Daphnia pulex: one gene and its partners. The protein of the gene in region 3 binds, or shares a complex with, the protein of the main gene of each other region. Links are inferred from orthologs where the notes say so. Each region holds a gene or a part of one and is shown on either strand. Other genes may lie near its edges. The genes, in order: actin-related protein 2, actin-related protein 3 and probable actin-related protein 2/3 complex subunit 2.

Region 1 (6,154 bases), on a different chromosome or scaffold from region 3:
TAGCCGCCGGAAATCACCGTCCAACTCCAACCAGTTGTTCTTCCGACTTCATACAACACGATCCCGGCACTGGTACCGCTTCACAGGTAGGAACTCGAGGTGGTGAATCAGTTGTCTCGTTCGATCATCAGGTTGTTGTTCCTTCGGATCAGGCTTACGTCATGTCGGGCGGCCTATCCTCTTCCAATTATGGACCGATGTACGACTGTAACAGGTACACAAAGAATGCCTCCTGATTTGATTGTGAAAACCAGTTGAAATAATCTACCGAAATTTAATTTGGAATGCTCAGATCCAGTTCTGAATCTGCCGCCATGGCCGGCAATCATCATCATCACCATTCGTCAACTTATGACGTCACTTCCGAAACGTCTGCCGGTAATTACAACAACAACAGCGGCGAAGGCCCTCCGTCGTACGTCAACAGTCAAGTAAATTTGATCCAGCAGCGGGGCTCTTACGGCGGCGGAGATAATAACCTCTCTGGGCAGAATTACCGGTAAATAACATCATATAAGACAGGCGCAAACCACCTATAAATTTACTACCAAGTGCCATCCTTTTTTGTATACTATTATCTACTGCCTCTTTTCTGTATGTTTCTCCTTTTTCGGTGTCAAACGACAACAAATCGGGACCAACTAAATGATTTCATGACGTACATGTATTTATCCGTTTCAAATTGTTTGTTCTCCTTCTCATCGCCCTGCGCAAAGACTAAAAGGTAGAGCTTCGGAAAAAAATAAGAAAAGAATTGTTGTTTAAATGTCAAATCGTAGTCATGGCCGCCTTCTTATCTTCTTTGTGTTAAAGAAAATGCAAGAAGTCAACGGAAAAAAAAAACTACATTCATTCTCCTATACTACGCCTGTGCCTTATCCGAGAATTCACATATCCTTGTGTGCATTTCTTGCGGCTGTTTTTTTTTTTTAAATAATGACGTTGTTAACCATTTTAAACTATGGCTTCATGGTCGTGCCCAGTGTAACCTTTTAAAAAGGTATTTCCCTTCGTTTTTTTTTCTTTCTCCTGTTGTTGCCTTGGGAATGTTAAATATGTCCTCCTCTCTGAAATTATCTGCTACCACGGCCATACTTTCCCCCTATGTGCAATAATAAAATTGCTTGAGTTTTCTTCTCTCGCCTGATTAGTTGCTATAATTACAGAGGCTATTTTTGTTTATTCAGCCAGAATTTGGGGGTCAACAAAAATTAGGGAGGGCGGGAATGTGAACCCAGCAACATGAAAAAAAAAAATGGACATCTGATTAGTAATAACATGACCTTCGATGGGAATCGGAAAAGAGGAACGAGCGTTTAAAATTGCGCGTTAGGAGCGGTTGACCAGTTTGTCCAGCACGCGGATGCCACGCTCATTGTACTCTTCCCTCGACATCCAGAAAGATTCTTTGTCTTTCATGACATCGGCCAATACGGCACCACCAATGAAAACCATGTCTTTACGGCGAGGAGGATCTTCAATACGAATTTTGAATTTCTGCGTGCCAAGAAAAGAGTAGTAAGTAAAATGTACGTCTAGAACACAAAATTTCATCGTTGTACCGTAAGTTTCTCCGTGTCGCCTTTAAGAACTCGTTCAAGGTACAGCTGTTTGATTTCCCGTTCGAGCCTAGACGGAAGTCCGGGATACATGGTTGAACCGCCTGAAAGGACGATGTGTTTGTATAGCGACGGGCGGACATCGATGTCGGCCGCTTGGATAGTCGAGAAGACTAGCTCGGCGATTCCTGACCCTTCAACGTTGATCAAGTGAGGCTGGAAAAGCGCTTCAGGGGCTTCGAACCGTTCACCACCCACTTTGATGACGCGCCCATCTGGAAGCTTTTTTAGAAATCGAATTTTTTGGTTTTTAAATATGCCATGGCCACAGCGACTCGAAGGTAGAATAAAGGGAAACTTACTGTGTATGATTCGACTAAAACGGTTGTTTCGAGAGCCAGTTTTTGTTCCGTTTCAATGTTATAGCCAATATAACAAAGTTTTTCTTTCAACTGGCGAACAGTTTCAAAGTCTGCCGTATGATTGAATGCGTAGCCTCTCAGCAGCAAGAGCTATAAAGAGGAATATTACTGAATTCATGCCAAACTATTGCGGGATGGATCATTGATTCTACCTTGATGAGATATCGGGTAATATCTCTTCCGGCAATGTCAAGACGTCTGGTTAAGTGAGGCATTGCAAACCCTTCGTACACAGGACAAATGTGAGTGACACCGTCTCCAGAATCGACAACAACTCCCGTCAGCAGACCCTGTGCGTAAAGTGTTAGAACTGCTTGGATGGCCACGTAGGTTCCGGCAAATCCATATTTTTCGAACATGACCTGTAACAAACGGCACAAAGATTCGAATTTTTACACACCCATTTCCACCACCACCATTGAAACATGGTGACAATTAAAAACATTTACCTCAATCATTTTCTCGCGATTCTTCAAAGGGTTCATCGGAGGCTCTGTTAGCAAGACCTTACATTGGTGAGGGTCAATGTTCATTTTCTCAGGGCCAAAAGTGTAATCCCACACATGACACATGTCTTCCCAATTCCTAAGGAACACAAACAAGCAGATTTATAAACACCAGTTCAAATTTAATAAATGTATCGATATATACCTAACGATTCCGTTTTCCATAGGGTAGTTCACTTCAAGCATTGAGCGAAGTTTACTCGCGTCATCTCCGACCATTAAATCCTGTTGATAAAAGTCTTCATTAATTTAGATTCAATTAAAAAGAACACTAAGTTACATGCAACTAAACATCAATGCAAAATTCCAACAAACAATATCACACCATAAAGTGCTCAATACTTACAGATATGTGAGCAAATCCCTGATTGAAAGGCAAGCAATTAAGCCAAAATCATGATTCAGTTCATTAGAAAATAACAAAACCTTTTTTTACAATCAAAATCAAAACTCCACAAAGACATTCATGTTATAGGACGGCACAAGTTGGTTTTTTACTATCACTGTTATGACTTTATAGGTTTTTAAACTATATCTGTGTTATAAGAACATGACACAGATTTTTTTAAATGCAAAACATGTGAGATTCCCTCTGTACTTATCCTTGGAATGTCACCTTAATTTGATAACCCTAGAAAGTTTTGTGTGATGTCGAAACCATGGAAATGGACAGTAAGATCGAAACTGCTTGAAAGAAAAGAATTTTATCATACCTTCACTTCGATGTCACCAATTTTGTTGGCAGCGCGAATGATAGGTCGTCCAACCAAAGATGGGAAGATATGTGCTGGAAAGTTTGATCCTGCATATCCAACTTTGACAAACTATCCAACATTGATAAAGGTGAGTTGCTAGTTTGCTACATGGCCGGCAAAACAACATTAATAAATATTTCAAAAGAAAAAAATAACTCACCCCTGTTCCATTATCACAAACTAATACTTTTCTTCCTTGACTATCCATCTCAAAGTTTGTTAATAGTTGATTTTATATTGATAATCTCAATTCGTGAACAATACGACACACAATTTGACAGCGCCCTAAAACCAAAACTACTTCCCGTCGGAGCCAGACGATAGCAGCTCATGGGGGTTGGGAGTTGCCACGGCAACCGATTGCTTAACATCATTGGTTAATCCAGCTGGTTAATCAGTTAACTCTGGTTTTAAATGACTATCTCGAATCGTTATAAAATATTTGAGATAAAGTTTCTTAAAAAAAATTTTGAAATTGTAAAGTATAGATTTTAAATTAATTTGTGAACTACATTATTTTGATGCAATGATTTATCTGAAGAATTTTGGCAACGCCGTTAATCAACCGGGAAATTCAAAATGTTCAATAACAGACAAAAAAGAATTAAATAAATTAAACGAATGAATTGTATATGCATACTAAAGTCAAATACTCTTACCAACACTGAATATTATCCATTGAAGCATGCAACACTAGAACATCTTCTTTAAAGAACATGAAACCAAACTGGCCAAAATCATAGGAAGGCTGAGGAAACTAAATTGAGTAAATTCCTTGGCAAAGCAAGAACTTGATGATGCATTCAAATTTAAAAAGGATATTTCAAAGATTTTTTGCCATTCTTTTATTCCAAGCCTGTTCATGCTGTACACATGTTGTACATTACCAAATTTTCAAAATTTTTCATGTTATCAAATCAGATCACAAAACAGCCTTTACTGAAAAATATTTAGGTAGCAATTCTTGATATACTTTTAGATCTTTATCTAAAAACACACAGAATATCACTCTTTCCAATGTTGATTCATCACTTTCAAGAAATTTTCTTGTTGTTAACAATGCTACTGCAGCTGCATCTCTATTGGGGTAACCATAAACCCCAGTTGAAATGCAGGGAAATACCTAATTAAAATTTTGAAGATGAAGAAATGGAATCCCTAAAAGGTACTAGAATGTAAAATCATGACTTACTATTGTTTTTAGTTCATTTTTATTCGCAAGTTTAAGACTATTAGAATAACAATCAGACAGCAAGTTAGAGTCTTGGTCCATAGGTCCAACAGTCTGAATCACATCTGGAAACATAAATACTGTATAGAAACAGGATATCATTCATACTTTTTCTAGAGAAAAATTTACACTTTGCAGGTAGTTTGTATCCTCCTGTCAGTTTAGCATCCCCTGTTTGACAACCACCTTTGATAGATTGACATTCTTCAAGAAGATAAGGACCAGCTGCTTTATGAATTGCTCCATCAACTGTTGAGGTAACACAAAACATTGATAAACAATTTAGAAATTTTCAATATTCTTTATTAAATTTCACCTCCACCACCACCAGCCAACCTGCTATTGGCTGCATTGACAATCGCTCCAACTTCTAGTTGAGTTATATCCCCTTTCCAAAGAGAAACTTTAGAATTGATTGATAAATTGGGTTTTAAATCAGTATTGTTTCCATCTGATGTAGAATGGGGAATTTCTTTTGATGTCTCTTCCCAAGTTGGAATCTCTTTCACTGAAACACAATGTTGATTTCGAGTTGCAGTGCTTTTTTCAAAGTACTCTGTAAAGAATGTAATTACATGATAAAGCAACCACAGCCTTCTTCAAATTCTAATTATACCTTTGGCTTCCTGCCAATTTTTGAATTCTTTCGCCATAATGGAAATTGATTTATTGAAATATCCCTTCGGTATTAAATATTTACCAATCGTTTGAATGAAATACATACACTACGTTGTTATGTACGAAGCGATTTTCAGGCGATTTTTAGGTGTGTGTTAGTCAGCTGTTAGTACTGATCGGCTAGTCGGCTGCTGGTGATTGCCTAAATCTAAAGGTAAACAATTGCAAATCGTCATAATTTATTTTAAATTACATTAATATATAGATTATGTAATTCATTGATAATTCAAAGTTTTAATATGTAAAGTATTTGGAAAATTTTCATGTTGCATCTGGTATGTTCCTTAAAATATTTCCTTTCCGTTTTCTTTGAGTGTTTAGGGATTTATTGGTAAGCGGCTATCCTGCCATTTTCGTGAATGAGAAAAGTAGACTGAGTGTAGACGACGGAAGACATTTTGGATTGCATCTGTGAGCAACTTGCATAGGTAAATATATTTTACTGTGCGTCTCCTTTCTTGTTAAACTTTGTATTGCATTACCGATTAATTTGTTGTGAGATCTGTTTGTAGTTTCCAAATATTTGTGAAGGCTAAATGATCTATACTCTCAGGTCATCAACATGTTTGCGACTCGAACCCGGCTAGCTGTTCGTCAAGGAACAGTCCTGCAGAGGCAGTTTGGAATATCTGCAGTTGTTGCTAATAAAGCAGTTGATCCCATTCAGAAACTCTTTTTGGACAAACTGAATGAGTACAAAGTCAAGAGCAAGTATGTATTAGATTTTATCATTTCTGTTACCATCTGTTAATTATTGGTGTTCTTTAGAGCTGCCGGAGGAAAATTGGTCGACCCATCTCCTGCTATCCAGAAAGATATTGCAACTGAGCTGGACAGAGTTCGCCGTGTTTATGGTGGAGCTGATGGAGCCGATATGACCAAGTTCCCCACTTTCAACTTCCCTGAACCCAAAGTTGATCCCATTAATTCTTAAACACTGAGAAAAATATAGTAGTGGTAAGACATTAAGATTGCTATGGATCTTCAATTCTTCATTGAAGAC
Region 2 (6,195 bases), on a different chromosome or scaffold from region 3:
ACCTTAAATGGTTAATTAAAACACGTAACCGAGAAGGAAAGTATATACAGAAAACCTCTAGCGCATATGCCTCGCTCTTTCTCAATGTTTGTTTGTTGTGGGTGGATGAAATTCTAGTCGCCAGCAGCCAGCGCAGGATGAGATCACGGATCGGAAGGTTCGGCAAAAGGGGAAAAGAAACACATTCGTGGGAGGAAGTTTCCATTCCAGCATAGTAGGTAAAAATAAATGTTTTAAAAAAAAAGTTTGTTTTCATCGGAAATCCTGCCCGGTACAGTATAATGACTGCCGGTCTCCCTATCAACTAAACAGGAAAAACAGGAAATCGACAGTTTATTATTCTCTCATTCGATTTAAAAAAAAAAAAAAGAAACGTTTCTTTTCCGAGCTCATTATGAATGCAAAACTGCTTAACACCAGCAATGGATCGGCATTCGGCAGTTATTTGGTATTTTTCGAATAACAAATTGTCCTTTGGAGGAGGCAGTATAAGGGGGGAAAAGGGAAAGATAACGATCTGGTATCACGTCATCTGGTTTGGAATTCCAACCGTCGAAAAACTCGTCCCTTTAGCCAAAACATTCCACGAAAGACAATTTCACATGTGTAGAAAAACCACCTTCGGCAATCAATGCCATCAGCATACAAAGCTGCCGAGCTTCTATGACGTCAAATCCCAACGACTCACACGCGATGCTCAACATTTTCGTTTCTCGATAAAACTAAAAAAAGATTTTTACATAATAATGGCGGAGGAAGTATGTGTGCATCGATATGTGGTCTATAGAGACATTCACGCAACCGAAATATATATACATATAGCCAAACAGAATGTATTCGGGTAATGTATTATCTAAATCCATGACATGCCAGTGACAAGAATTCAATTTTTTTTTTCTTCTTCATGTAACAATTTCAAATAATGAGAGAGGGGGAGGGAGCGATAGAACTGGAAGAAAAGGGGTGGTGAACGGCGGACTGATTGCGGATGAGCGAACGGAAAGCTGTTTGATTGCGTCTTTGATGCAACAAATAACGACTGTAGTGTGTTATTAAGTGGTTATAGAGTGATCAGGGATAGCAGGGTTTCGTGTATGAACATCAAATACGTTAGGGTCATTCATATCGGACAGGTTACTTTGCATTACGCCCCAATATCACCTTTAAGGGGCTATTGAAGACTACTATTTAGCTCTCAACGACTTGATTGCATTTGCATCGAATTGATTTCTTCATTTGCAACAGCGAACGCTTCCACCCAACCACACACTTGGCCTCGACGACAAATAGACAAGGAATGACTGTCATCCAATTATTCGGTATATGCTGAATCACTTAATAAAATTAAGGATGATAATGAACCCAGTTGATTATTTCGGCAAATAGACACCACGACGGCGCAAAGAAAGAAAAACATCTTTCTTTTCTTTTTTAGTAGAGACGGAAAATGGTAGAAAAGCCAACAAACAACAGGCACTTGAACAAATCCGGTTCTACCAATCAACTCAAGTTGCTCACCCTAAATCACCCATGAACTTAAAATTGGAAAGTATGTAGAAAAAGGAAAAAAAAAAAGGAAAAGTAAGACCAGAAGGAAGAGGAAAACAAACAAGCACCATCATTTCTCTCGAGTAAAAGGGGGGGGGGGGAGACAAGTCAACTTGGGAGAGGGAGGAAACGGGGTAGGCATGGTGTCAGGAAAAACAGCGGACTGGATTCAAAAACAAATGCTAGTAGGAAAAAAAAATTGAGGGTCAAATGAGGAAGGATAAACGGAGAAAAATAAACGGAAAAGAACTTGTTCACTTTCCTCTCTGTGAAAATGATAATTACATTTGATACGGCCCTCCTTACACATTGTTGAATTATTACAGAGGAAACCTCGATCTGATCGATGCCTTATGGCGCTTCCTTTTTGCGCGCTGTACCTTGATTTTTGTTTTTGTTCTACAGGTAATTATGTCATAGTACCAAACACTGGATTGTGCCTACAAATGCTCGGCCCGTACTCCTCATACGCAGCTTTAGTGTGACACACTTGATAAAATTCAGGCTGCAAACCGGGGAGAGAAAGCCAAAAAAAAAAAAAAAAAGATAAGTCAGTTAATTTCCTTTCTTACGTAATTTATCGCTATCACATACCGTTGAAGCAAGTAGACTTCCACCGAACCATACCGCATAGCGTTGCATGTGGTGCGATACCACTTGAACGTCAATAGGTTTCGGCTGTAAACCAAGAACAAAAATATTCAATTACAACTATTACGCCAGTTCCTGGATGTGGGAACCGTCGCGTATCCCGTTCAGCCAACCCATTCGACCACAACTCTTAAATACAAGTGGAAACTCACCGTCAGTTTGCCTCCACTCAGCTGTTCACTGATTTTGAGCCGAGCGTCGCTAACACGCTTGATATCTCGTTGCAACCGCCGACCAAAATCCTTAAACATGGTCGATCCACCCGACAATACGATGTTCTTGTACAATGGCCTCCTCACATCAATAGGGCAGTTTTGAATGACTGTGTCAACAACTTCTGATATAGGGGTCGTGAAATCGGGGTTGGCAAACTGCAATATCAAAATGAATGAAAACATGATTCGGTCTACAATAGCCAATGCAAAATGCAGACGAAAATGAATAAAATCTACCTCTGGGTGAAAGAAAATCTCGGGTCCTAAGAAACGCTCATAGCCAACATCAACGCCAAACGGCTGCTTGGTGATGGAATTGAGGCCTTCGAATTTCTGCATCCATTTATTGGGCTCAGCATCGTACTTGGCAAATTCTTTTGCAATATCAGGACAAATGTAACAGTAGCGCTCTTTAACAGCCTTGGCTGTCTCGAGCGATTGCTCAGGTGGAATGCCAATTTCTCTTTCACGGAGAAGGGATTGAATGAAATAGGTTATGTTGCGACCTGCAATTGGGATGTGCTTTATGCAACTTCCAATAACATATCCTTCAGCCTACAAAAATCAAGACAACAATTAGAAAGCGCCCAAATGAAAAGCAAATTATTTATAATAATATCAGTTACCACTGGGATCACATGGGTAACACCATCACCACTATCAATCACAATACCAGTCAAGGTTCTTTCACCCAACTGCCTTGAGGTCCAAGAGGCAGCCAGAGCAAGGACTGCTTGAACAGCTATGTACAGACCGGGAACGTTGAAAGATTCAAACATGATCTCTGCTGTGTACTCCCTGTTTTCCGGGGTGTTTAAAGGGGGTTCTGTTAGCAAGAAATGGTGGTCTTCTGGTTCTGCTCGCAGATATTTGAATATGCTCTGTTCTAAGAACCGCTCCATAAGGTCCCAATCTTCAACAATCCCATGACGTACAGGATACTGCAATGGTAATTAAACCAAAATGAATGATCTGTTTTCAATAATAACTATTTCCACTTGAAAAATAGCTGAATTGACAAATCTCATAAGTAAGGTGTTTGTTACCAATCATGTAAACAAACTGTCATTTGCATTAAAACTTACTTAAAAATAAGATAATTTAAGTTATGAATGAAAAAAAGTCATACTTTGACTGAATATCCCCCATTTCCTGCTTCGAGGGCTTCGTCACCAATAAAGAAGTCAAGATCTTCGATTCCCTTTCCTAACCTTCTCGAAGCTTGGTCACCAACCTTTGCTGTTTCTTTAATGGCAATGGCTGAAGGTATAATGTATTGAGGCTCTTTATTGCCAGCATAACCAAGCTTGGAATAACTAAAAAAAAACAAAAATTTATTAGAAGTGTTAACAACCTTTCCAGAATAGGCACACTGAGATGAGATTGCAGTCTGTCAGACAGACCAGACCAAAGCATATCCTTACCCTGTTCCGATGTCAATCACACAAGCCGGTAATCTTCCGGTCATTTCACACAATTATTGTTTAAAACCTTTAACACTATTTCTCTGATTTAATCCTTATTGTGATTAGACACAGAAATTGTAAACGAAATTAGCTTAATTCGAAACACCGGCAGCGTCTAGAGCGATGAGTGTTCAATCCCCACCCCTGGCAGTTTCAGACTACGGCCACCAGGTGGCAACAGAACTTCCTCTGACAATCTGATAAGGATTTTTTTTCTTTTTTTTTAATGAGACAAACATGGTAAGGTTATCTTATTTATCATATGCGGAGATAAGGCCATAGTTCAGTTATTCCAATGGTTAATAAACGGTGGACGTTAAAGAAGTAAAACATCCCATAACGATTGGTAAAATTGAATTGCGCCAGATTTTGAAGACATCTAGCGTGATTTGAATGAATCTGATTGAACTTTTGTGAAATCAGAAGGCAACCATATGTGACGTAAAAAGAAGTTTTCGTCATAAAAAAAAGATATTTTAAGGAACAATAAAAAAAATTTATGGTCTTGATGAGAAACAGAAAAAAATTTATCCGGAAATCCGGACCCTATCCTCACGAGTCGAAGATACCAGATACCCCTGCTCTTTCATCTTTGGTCTAGCAATCAAGTTTGAATTTTCAATTTAAAAAAAAAAAGGGTTGTTTCCTTTTCATTTTCTTTCCTACCATCTTTTGCTTCCTGCCCTTGAAACCAATTAGATTTTATTGGATGGGGCTTTCGTGGCAACCAACGGTTCAGTAAACGAGTAACTGGGGATTCTGATTCGGTCTGCAAGTCAAACTCACCATTCTATACACGCGCAAAACTCGCCACAGGCTATTTAAACCGAGACGGTAAATCTACAGGGGAGCATTTCATTTCAGTACGGCCATTGTGTTTGTACAATGAACATTCTCATCTTTTCCTGCATGACACGGCATTCCAACTAAATTTGAGACAGTCATGTTCTATGAGAATATTGACACTAAAAAGAAAAACTTATATCGCTAATATTCTCATTTCTTTATCTTAAAGGAAAATGTTGACTCTGCGTCACACCGCATCCTAATGGCTTTTGAATTTTAGCCCTCACTTTCGTATCTATCGCTCTATCAGCATATTACTCACACACAGCAATTGCTTTTTTGGGGGGTGACATAATCTTGCAAACTGTTAAGTACGTTAAAATTACCAGCCAAAGTGACGACAAATTTCAGCAAGTTGGCATATTTAATCCCATAAGCTATACTGACATTTCCCGATTCTAATGAAGTTGTACAAGAATACTTGAAACTTTCCCTTTGTCCATTCGCCCTACACCGCATATATCTCTCTCAAGTAGTTTCTTTTTAAAAACTCCATGAAGCAAAAGCGGCGGAAGGAACCACACAGCAACGACGTGACGATTTTTCTTTTAAAAGTCAACTTTATACTCGACTGGGATCGAGTTTTAGTTCACTCAGCTTAGCTACACCAAAGAGAGCTAATAACGTTCTCTTCTGCCAACGACAGGAAATAGAAATCCTCATTCAGGGCCCGTCAATATCACGTAATAAATATCGCTGGGCAACGCGCTACAAAAATAGTAGCTTATAAGAACACGGGTATATTGAAAACGGTTTGCTTCCTGTAGGATCAAATGTAACGATCGCCAATTTTTCTTTACAGACTTTTAGCACTTTTATGGACTCGTCGTCGGTGCTCTATTTTTACGTACTACACTGATACCTGTATACTATATAAATCTCTTTATAAATAGAGTTGATTATTGAAAAACATCACAACATTCACTTGCATAACTATATGCGTAGCTTCTTCCATGGCCGGAGGCCCTTTCAGAAAATTCTCAGTAAGTAAATTTCGGGTCTGATTGAATTGCTCGTAATCGAATAGCAAGATCCTATTCCGGTCCGAGCATGAGATAGTCATCACTTGACGTTTGAATATGCAACGTCTAGTCTCATCAATCCGATCAATACTTAGCTGAGACTTTGGCGCGCGTGCTCACGTTAGTCCAAGCCAACGTAACTCCTGGAAGCAGCACACGGAGAAAGAAAAACCAAAAATGGATGATGGAGGGAATCGGGGACGACGAGCCGTGGGGCTAGGGGCCGTGTTGGAAGGGGGGAAAAGCCTCTGCGCGCGCATCATAGTCCCACGACGCTTTCAATAGTAGCACACAGGAAAGGAGACAACCAGAAAGCTGCTTCTTCAGTTTTCATAACAAGCTTCAACCGCTTGAACGTCGCTCGCGTCTGTCTCTTAATCATCAGCGATTCTGTCAGGTATGTTGGGATGATTGACAACTGAATGTTAAACTGTAAAATGCTATAGT
Region 3 (5,409 bases):
ACTCATGATTTGGATACAGTCCATGGTCCATTTTTCTATGAAGCACTTCCACCTGATTCAATTAAGTTCAAGCCATTGAGCCAGAGTAAAGAGTTTACTGCTTCTCAGTTAATGGACTTGTATTCAGTAATCTATCTATCAATTGTGTCATTTTATGCTTTTAAAAATTAAAGATAATCATTTTTTACTAATTCAGACTGATAGCCATCTTCGCCACTATTTACCAATTATACGCGATAGTTCAGTCTATCCTGTTATCAAGGACAGTAATGGAGTAGTTCTTTCTATGCCACCTATTATCAATGGTGAACATTCAAAAATTACCTTAGATACGAAAAATGTTTTCATTGAATGCACTGCTACAGACCTAACCAAGGTAAATTGCCTTTATGAAAATGCAATTTTTTAAATTGCTTCTTTAATTGTTTAAATGTCTTCTTTTAGGCTAGCATCGTTTTGGACACTTTGGTCTGTATGTTTTCTAGGTACTGCGGGGATCAGTTTACTGTGGAGATATGCGAAGTAGAGACTCCAGAAGGAAAAATCAACAACTATCCGATTTTAAAAAATCGACATGAGAAAATCAGTGTTGACAAGATCAATACAATGGTGGGTATCAACGAAAAAGCTGACGAAATCGCAAATTTACTCACCCGAATGTGTTTAACTGCCACCGTGGAAGGAACTGGTTCCATTTCGGTAAAAAAAATGTAATGGTTAAATTATAGGATTTTGAAAATTCATGTAAAAATATTCCCTGGCAGGTTGAAATACCCCCCACTCGTCATGATATCATTCATGCGTGTGATGTCTATGAAGATGTGGCGATTGCTTTTGGATACAATAACATAACCAAAACTCTACCGAAAACTAACACCATAGCTTCACAGTTTCCCCTAAATAAGCTGTCAGATCAGTTGAGAGACCAGCTTGCTCAAGCCGGTTTCACAGAGGCTCTCACATTTTCGTTGTGCTCGAAGGAAGACATAAGCGAAAAGCTGAGGAAACCTCTGAACTCCGTTCCTGCAGTTCATGTTTCCAATCCGAAAACTTTGGAGTTCCAAGTAGCACGCACGACCTTACTTTCAGGTTTGCTCAAAACTATCGCTGCCAATAGGAAAATGCCTTTGCCCATGAAGGTAAAACCTATTTATTTAATAAGATAAGTTATAAAAGTTGTAAAACATATGGTTTCTGTTCTTCAAGCTATTTGAAGTATCCGATGTGGTAGTGAAAGACAGTCAGCGAGATGTTGGAGCTCGTAATTGCCGCAATCTGTGCGCCGTTTATTACAATAAGTCGCCTGGATTTGAATTAGTTCATGGTTTACTAGATCGCTTAATGCAATTGTTGGAAGTTCCACTGGATCAGAGTGGCAGCAAGGGATACTTCCTGAAACCATGCGAAGGTTCATTTCATATACTGCATCAATATTTTGATTACCTTCTTCTAAAGCTATAAAATTTACAGATGCAACTTTTTTCCCCGGACGATGCGCCCAAATCATTTTTGCTGGCACTGTTGTCGGAATCGTCGGAGTCTTACATCCTGATGTTGTGACATCCTTTGATTTAAATCTTCCATGTTCAGCTTTGGAGTTGAATATTGAACCGTTTTTGTAAGCAGTTACAAGAAATAAATGTGGTCTGTCATTAATGAGAAGCTAGTGTATTATTGAAAAATGTGAAACTAAGCGTTACAATTTAATCAATGAAGAAATCCTAATTAGGTAAACAGGGAAAATGTGCATTTAAACATCATGGAGTACGAATGAAAGTACGGCCGGTGATCGTTTTCTTTTCCACCGTTTTTGGTTCAGGTCGAGCTCGGTTTAATACTTTCAAAAAATCAGAAGTTTTGGCTCTCATGCGTGAATGAATGTAGGCTTTGCTACATTTGATGTGGTAGTGCAAATAGTCACGGAAGAGATGAATCAAATTAATGGTATTTTCGCGGACGTTTTTGTTCGTATGCCGTGGAAACAAGACTAAAAAGAATTATGACATAAATTTTACAGAAATCCATGTGTAAAAATAGAAATGATTTCATACCAAATGTAATGTATCCAATATTGTCACCAATTTTAGCATTTGTACTTTGAAGTTCCAGAGGAGGTTCTCGGTGAGAAAAAAGAACTTGTGGGGCAGTGTGAGAAGCTCGGCGACCTTCGCGAAGTTCTTGTAAGAAAACTTTACCTAACACAATATCATCCTCATCACGGAATACAGTGCTGAACACTACTGTTACTCTGTCTGCCTTAGCTTCTATGTACAATGTCTCTTCATCACGATAATTGATAACTGCTCTCTTGTGCCCTTCTTCACCTTATTAGAAAAGAAAAATTATAGAATTTCAGAGTATTGCTTTTGCTCATTATTTTTTTACCCTTTTCCTGAAATTCAAAATACTTCTCAAAAACAGATGCAAAGCAATTTCTTTTCAGCAGTCCAATTTTTTTTACTATTTCTTCCCAATTGCCAGGTATGTTATCCAAATCCAAAACAAGGGAAATATTGTACCCTTCAAAAAAAAAAAAGGATAAATAAACAAAGAAGATAAATAAAACCTTTTCACCAATAGGATATTACACATACCATCTTCAGCTTGACATAGTAGGTTCCCATATTCTCTTTTTAGTAACTCATCAGCACCATGTTCCTGAAGGTCTTTATAGAATTTCAGTGAAATGCTAACCTATAAAAATAACAATTAATTAATCCTGCAACATTTCATTTATAAGGTTTTCTTTCTAATAACTTACTCGAACTTTGGATTTATCAGAATCAGGGTTGGCAATATGAAAAAGAACCCCATCGAAATCAGCAATGACTACATTTACGGAATCCGGTTTATTTCTATACAAATTAGGAATAATATGTTTCGTAGCAATTCAAAAACAAATGTATATAAATTATTTACCCGGCAAGCGAATTTTTTATTTTAACTGTAAGGGTATCTTCAACAATTTTGTTATTTATTTCCAGAAGAATCATCGCGACGAAATGTGAATGTGATGACTTGTATCACAAAATTAAACAAATTTCAACATAGTCAGCACACAAGGAAATGTTAATGTTATCTGTCACAACTCACAAGACAACCACAAAAGAAAAGGGAGTGGACTTGCCGTTTGCCAGATTTCAACAAAGCAGGTGCGGTACGCAAGCACCAGCATGGTGTCATAGACAAAGACCATGGTTGTTGATATAATGGTTCCCACTGTCTGTGTTATAAGGTCCCATAAGGCAGCTGATTTTTTTGTGATCTTTGGTTACTGCGACAGCCCCGCGACCTGGTGTTGGAAGGGTGGAAGCTTACACTGAAACAACACAGAAATTTTCTAAGTCCCTCGTAAACAAATCAGAGCTATGCGTACTTTGCGCATCCGTTAAACAGATTGATTGACGATTTTCTAATTAAGATTAATTTCAGATGATAACAATAGATTTCATTGGTTCAATTTATAACTTGTAATGTGTATTAACGGCAGTCAGTGGAGCTTAATAACTTCCTTATGCTTTCAAGACTCGGAAGTGGTAAAATTCCATTTGCTTTCAAATGTCTATATGTCTTGCTGCTTTTAAGTCGAATTTGAAGACAATGCATCAAAAATAAAGGGTCGTAACGCATTCCTTTCTTACAGTTATCTTTTCCCGGTTTTGCTTTAGCTTTGTCCATCATAGTTTTCACGATTAACTGTTCCTGATAGAGATTTGAAAAATCTATTAATAAACTGATATATGATATGGTCTTTAGTAAGTATGGAATGTCATTGTCAATCGTCTGGAATATTATTTTTGAATAGTCTTGCGAATAAGTTGGATTTCACAAATGTGAGGGTTGGAATAAGGAATGATATCTCTATCGAAATAATTGGAAAACATTGGTCAAATAGGGAAGCATACATATAGTCTAGTCATGAGGTAATTAAATTAGTATTTCATTGTTACCGTAGGACTCAGGCACTTTAGTTTTTCGTCAAAGTTATTCTTTTTCTGTTCCTTAATCAATTTTTGGTTTGTAATAGTCAAAGTCTGCTTTTCTTTTTCTAAATTTGACACAATTCCAGAGACCAACTAAAATTACAAATAGAAAATATATTAATAGTAATCGTATGTTAATTTATGAATAACAAAAAAATAATTACTTTTCCTTGTTGGAGAATTCTTCTCATTGCTAAATTTCTCTTTTGCTGTTGGTTTTTCTTTTGAATTCCTGTCCTCTCAGCCTTACAACCTAATTGTTTCTTGCGAGTCATCAGATATTTCTTAAGGAATTTGCAATTCAAACAAACATTGTTTTCAGTAAGTCCTGTGCACCGGTTAGATCGTATGATTTTTCCGTCTTTCACAGCGCTACATCGGGACGTCACACAAACATTCGCTAGTGATAGTTCAACAATTCCATCACACACATTGCTTACTTCCACGGCACCAATAATGTTAGATAAATCTTCAATTACATTGAAATTAGTCTTAACATTACGGGGAAATATTTGTTTTCCATTGAGGAACAATTCCACCTTATTCATGGAGACAACTGAGATTGTTTTTATTACAATTTTGCGATCTGGAGAAAATGAATGACTGAAACACACGAGGGTTTTGTTAACCTTATCTTCTTGCCACATCCACGAAGAGGAAGGTAGTTTGACTCTCGCAATAACATCAGTGTATGTAGCTGGGTCAAGGTATCCTTCCATTTCTGTCTCCCGTGCTGTTTGTTCTGAATTTTCTTGTAACATTTCTTCTGTCATTTCACCCGGTGCTCCAATCAGTTCATCCACTTCCATATCATTTGGTTCAAATTCTACTCTCAATTGAGATTCAGATTCAGATTGTAGTTCTTTTTCAGGTGGAATGTGTAGGAGTGTTTCAGTAGTAGGTTCCTGGAACATGTCTTCTGTTGTTACACATGGTAATGCCACAGGTTCAGCTGCTTCCATATCATTTACTTTTCCTTTTTCAGCGTCAAGTTGGTGTATAGCTGTAACATAACATGTCATGTTTTTAAAAAATATCTTATTACACTTAGTTTTTAATTTACCTATGCTATTTGACGTTGACTTCTTTGCATGTGATGGGATCAATACATTGGTGTTGTTATTCGACAAAAATGATTGATTGTCCAACTGCAGCTTAGGATTAGCAGCTTTAGACTTTGCTGTTATATTTCGATATGGTGACTTAAACCTATCACTGTGAACATACTTCTTTGCAGCAGGTCTTTCGAGTACGCTGACATCATTTCCTGTTAGAAACATACAGAATTAGCAGTATTAGTATAACTTAACATTGTCATGGATAATTAAAATTTGAGAATACCTAGCAATTTACTGGGCCGAGCACCTGATTTTAATTTCCATTTCGGATAACTGTAAAACACGCCTTGAATTTCTCTCCCTTTAAG

The links.
Region 1: probable actin-related protein 2/3 complex subunit 2 (region 3) and actin-related protein 2 share a complex: the UniProt entries of both Drosophila melanogaster proteins name them as parts of the arp2/3 complex. The link is inferred for Daphnia pulex from reciprocal best matches to the Drosophila melanogaster genes Arpc2 and Arp2.
Region 2: probable actin-related protein 2/3 complex subunit 2 (region 3) and actin-related protein 3 share a complex: the UniProt entries of both Drosophila melanogaster proteins name them as parts of the arp2/3 complex. The link is inferred for Daphnia pulex from reciprocal best matches to the Drosophila melanogaster genes Arpc2 and Arp3.

The regions. Positions count from the first base shown.
Region 1 is NC_060020.1:5,357,852-5,364,005, forward strand, and holds actin-related protein 2, read right to left. Parts: upstream 3,596-6,154; 5' UTR 3,451-3,595; coding exon 3,403-3,450; intron 3,312-3,402; coding exon 3,201-3,311; intron 2,713-3,200; coding exon 2,633-2,712; intron 2,567-2,632; coding exon 2,431-2,566; intron 2,344-2,430; coding exon 2,134-2,343; intron 2,072-2,133; coding exon 1,922-2,071; intron 1,842-1,921; coding exon 1,563-1,841; intron 1,498-1,562; coding exon 1,330-1,497; 3' UTR 1,161-1,329; downstream 1-1,160. Other genes in the region: activating transcription factor 3-like, read left to right, coding at 4-214, 293-503; macro domain-containing protein CT2219-like, read right to left, coding at 4,165-4,365, 4,435-4,538, 4,603-4,722, 4,790-5,029, 5,087-5,195; ATP synthase-coupling factor 6, mitochondrial-like, read left to right, coding at 5,714-5,862, 5,920-6,085. UniProt on the Drosophila melanogaster protein: Functions as ATP-binding component of the Arp2/3 complex which is involved in regulation of actin polymerization and together with an activating nucleation-promoting factor (NPF) mediates the formation of branched actin networks.
Region 2 is NC_060017.1:5,489,576-5,495,770, forward strand, and holds actin-related protein 3, read right to left. Parts: upstream 4,046-6,195; 5' UTR 3,883-4,045; coding exon 3,839-3,882; intron 3,731-3,838; coding exon 3,544-3,730; intron 3,356-3,543; coding exon 3,041-3,355; intron 2,970-3,040; coding exon 2,652-2,969; intron 2,571-2,651; coding exon 2,352-2,570; intron 2,227-2,351; coding exon 2,143-2,226; intron 2,054-2,142; coding exon 1,958-2,053; 3' UTR 833-1,957; downstream 1-832. UniProt on the Drosophila melanogaster protein: Functions as ATP-binding component of the Arp2/3 complex which is involved in regulation of actin polymerization and together with an activating nucleation-promoting factor (NPF) mediates the formation of branched actin networks.
Region 3 is NC_060024.1:1,047,086-1,052,494, forward strand, and holds probable actin-related protein 2/3 complex subunit 2, read right to left. Parts: upstream 3,141-5,409; 5' UTR 2,994-3,140; coding exon 2,920-2,993; intron 2,856-2,919; coding exon 2,762-2,855; intron 2,695-2,761; coding exon 2,595-2,694; intron 2,521-2,594; coding exon 2,386-2,520; intron 2,325-2,385; coding exon 2,052-2,324; intron 1,988-2,051; coding exon 1,758-1,987; 3' UTR 1,623-1,757; downstream 1-1,622. Other genes in the region: phenylalanine--tRNA ligase beta subunit-like, read left to right, coding at 1-126, 197-376, 445-699, 765-1,139, 1,207-1,408, 1,471-1,622; uncharacterized protein LOC124201224, read right to left, coding at 3,481-3,702, 3,951-4,076, 4,148-4,945. UniProt on the Drosophila melanogaster protein: Functions as actin-binding component of the Arp2/3 complex which is involved in regulation of actin polymerization and together with an activating nucleation-promoting factor (NPF) mediates the formation of branched actin networks.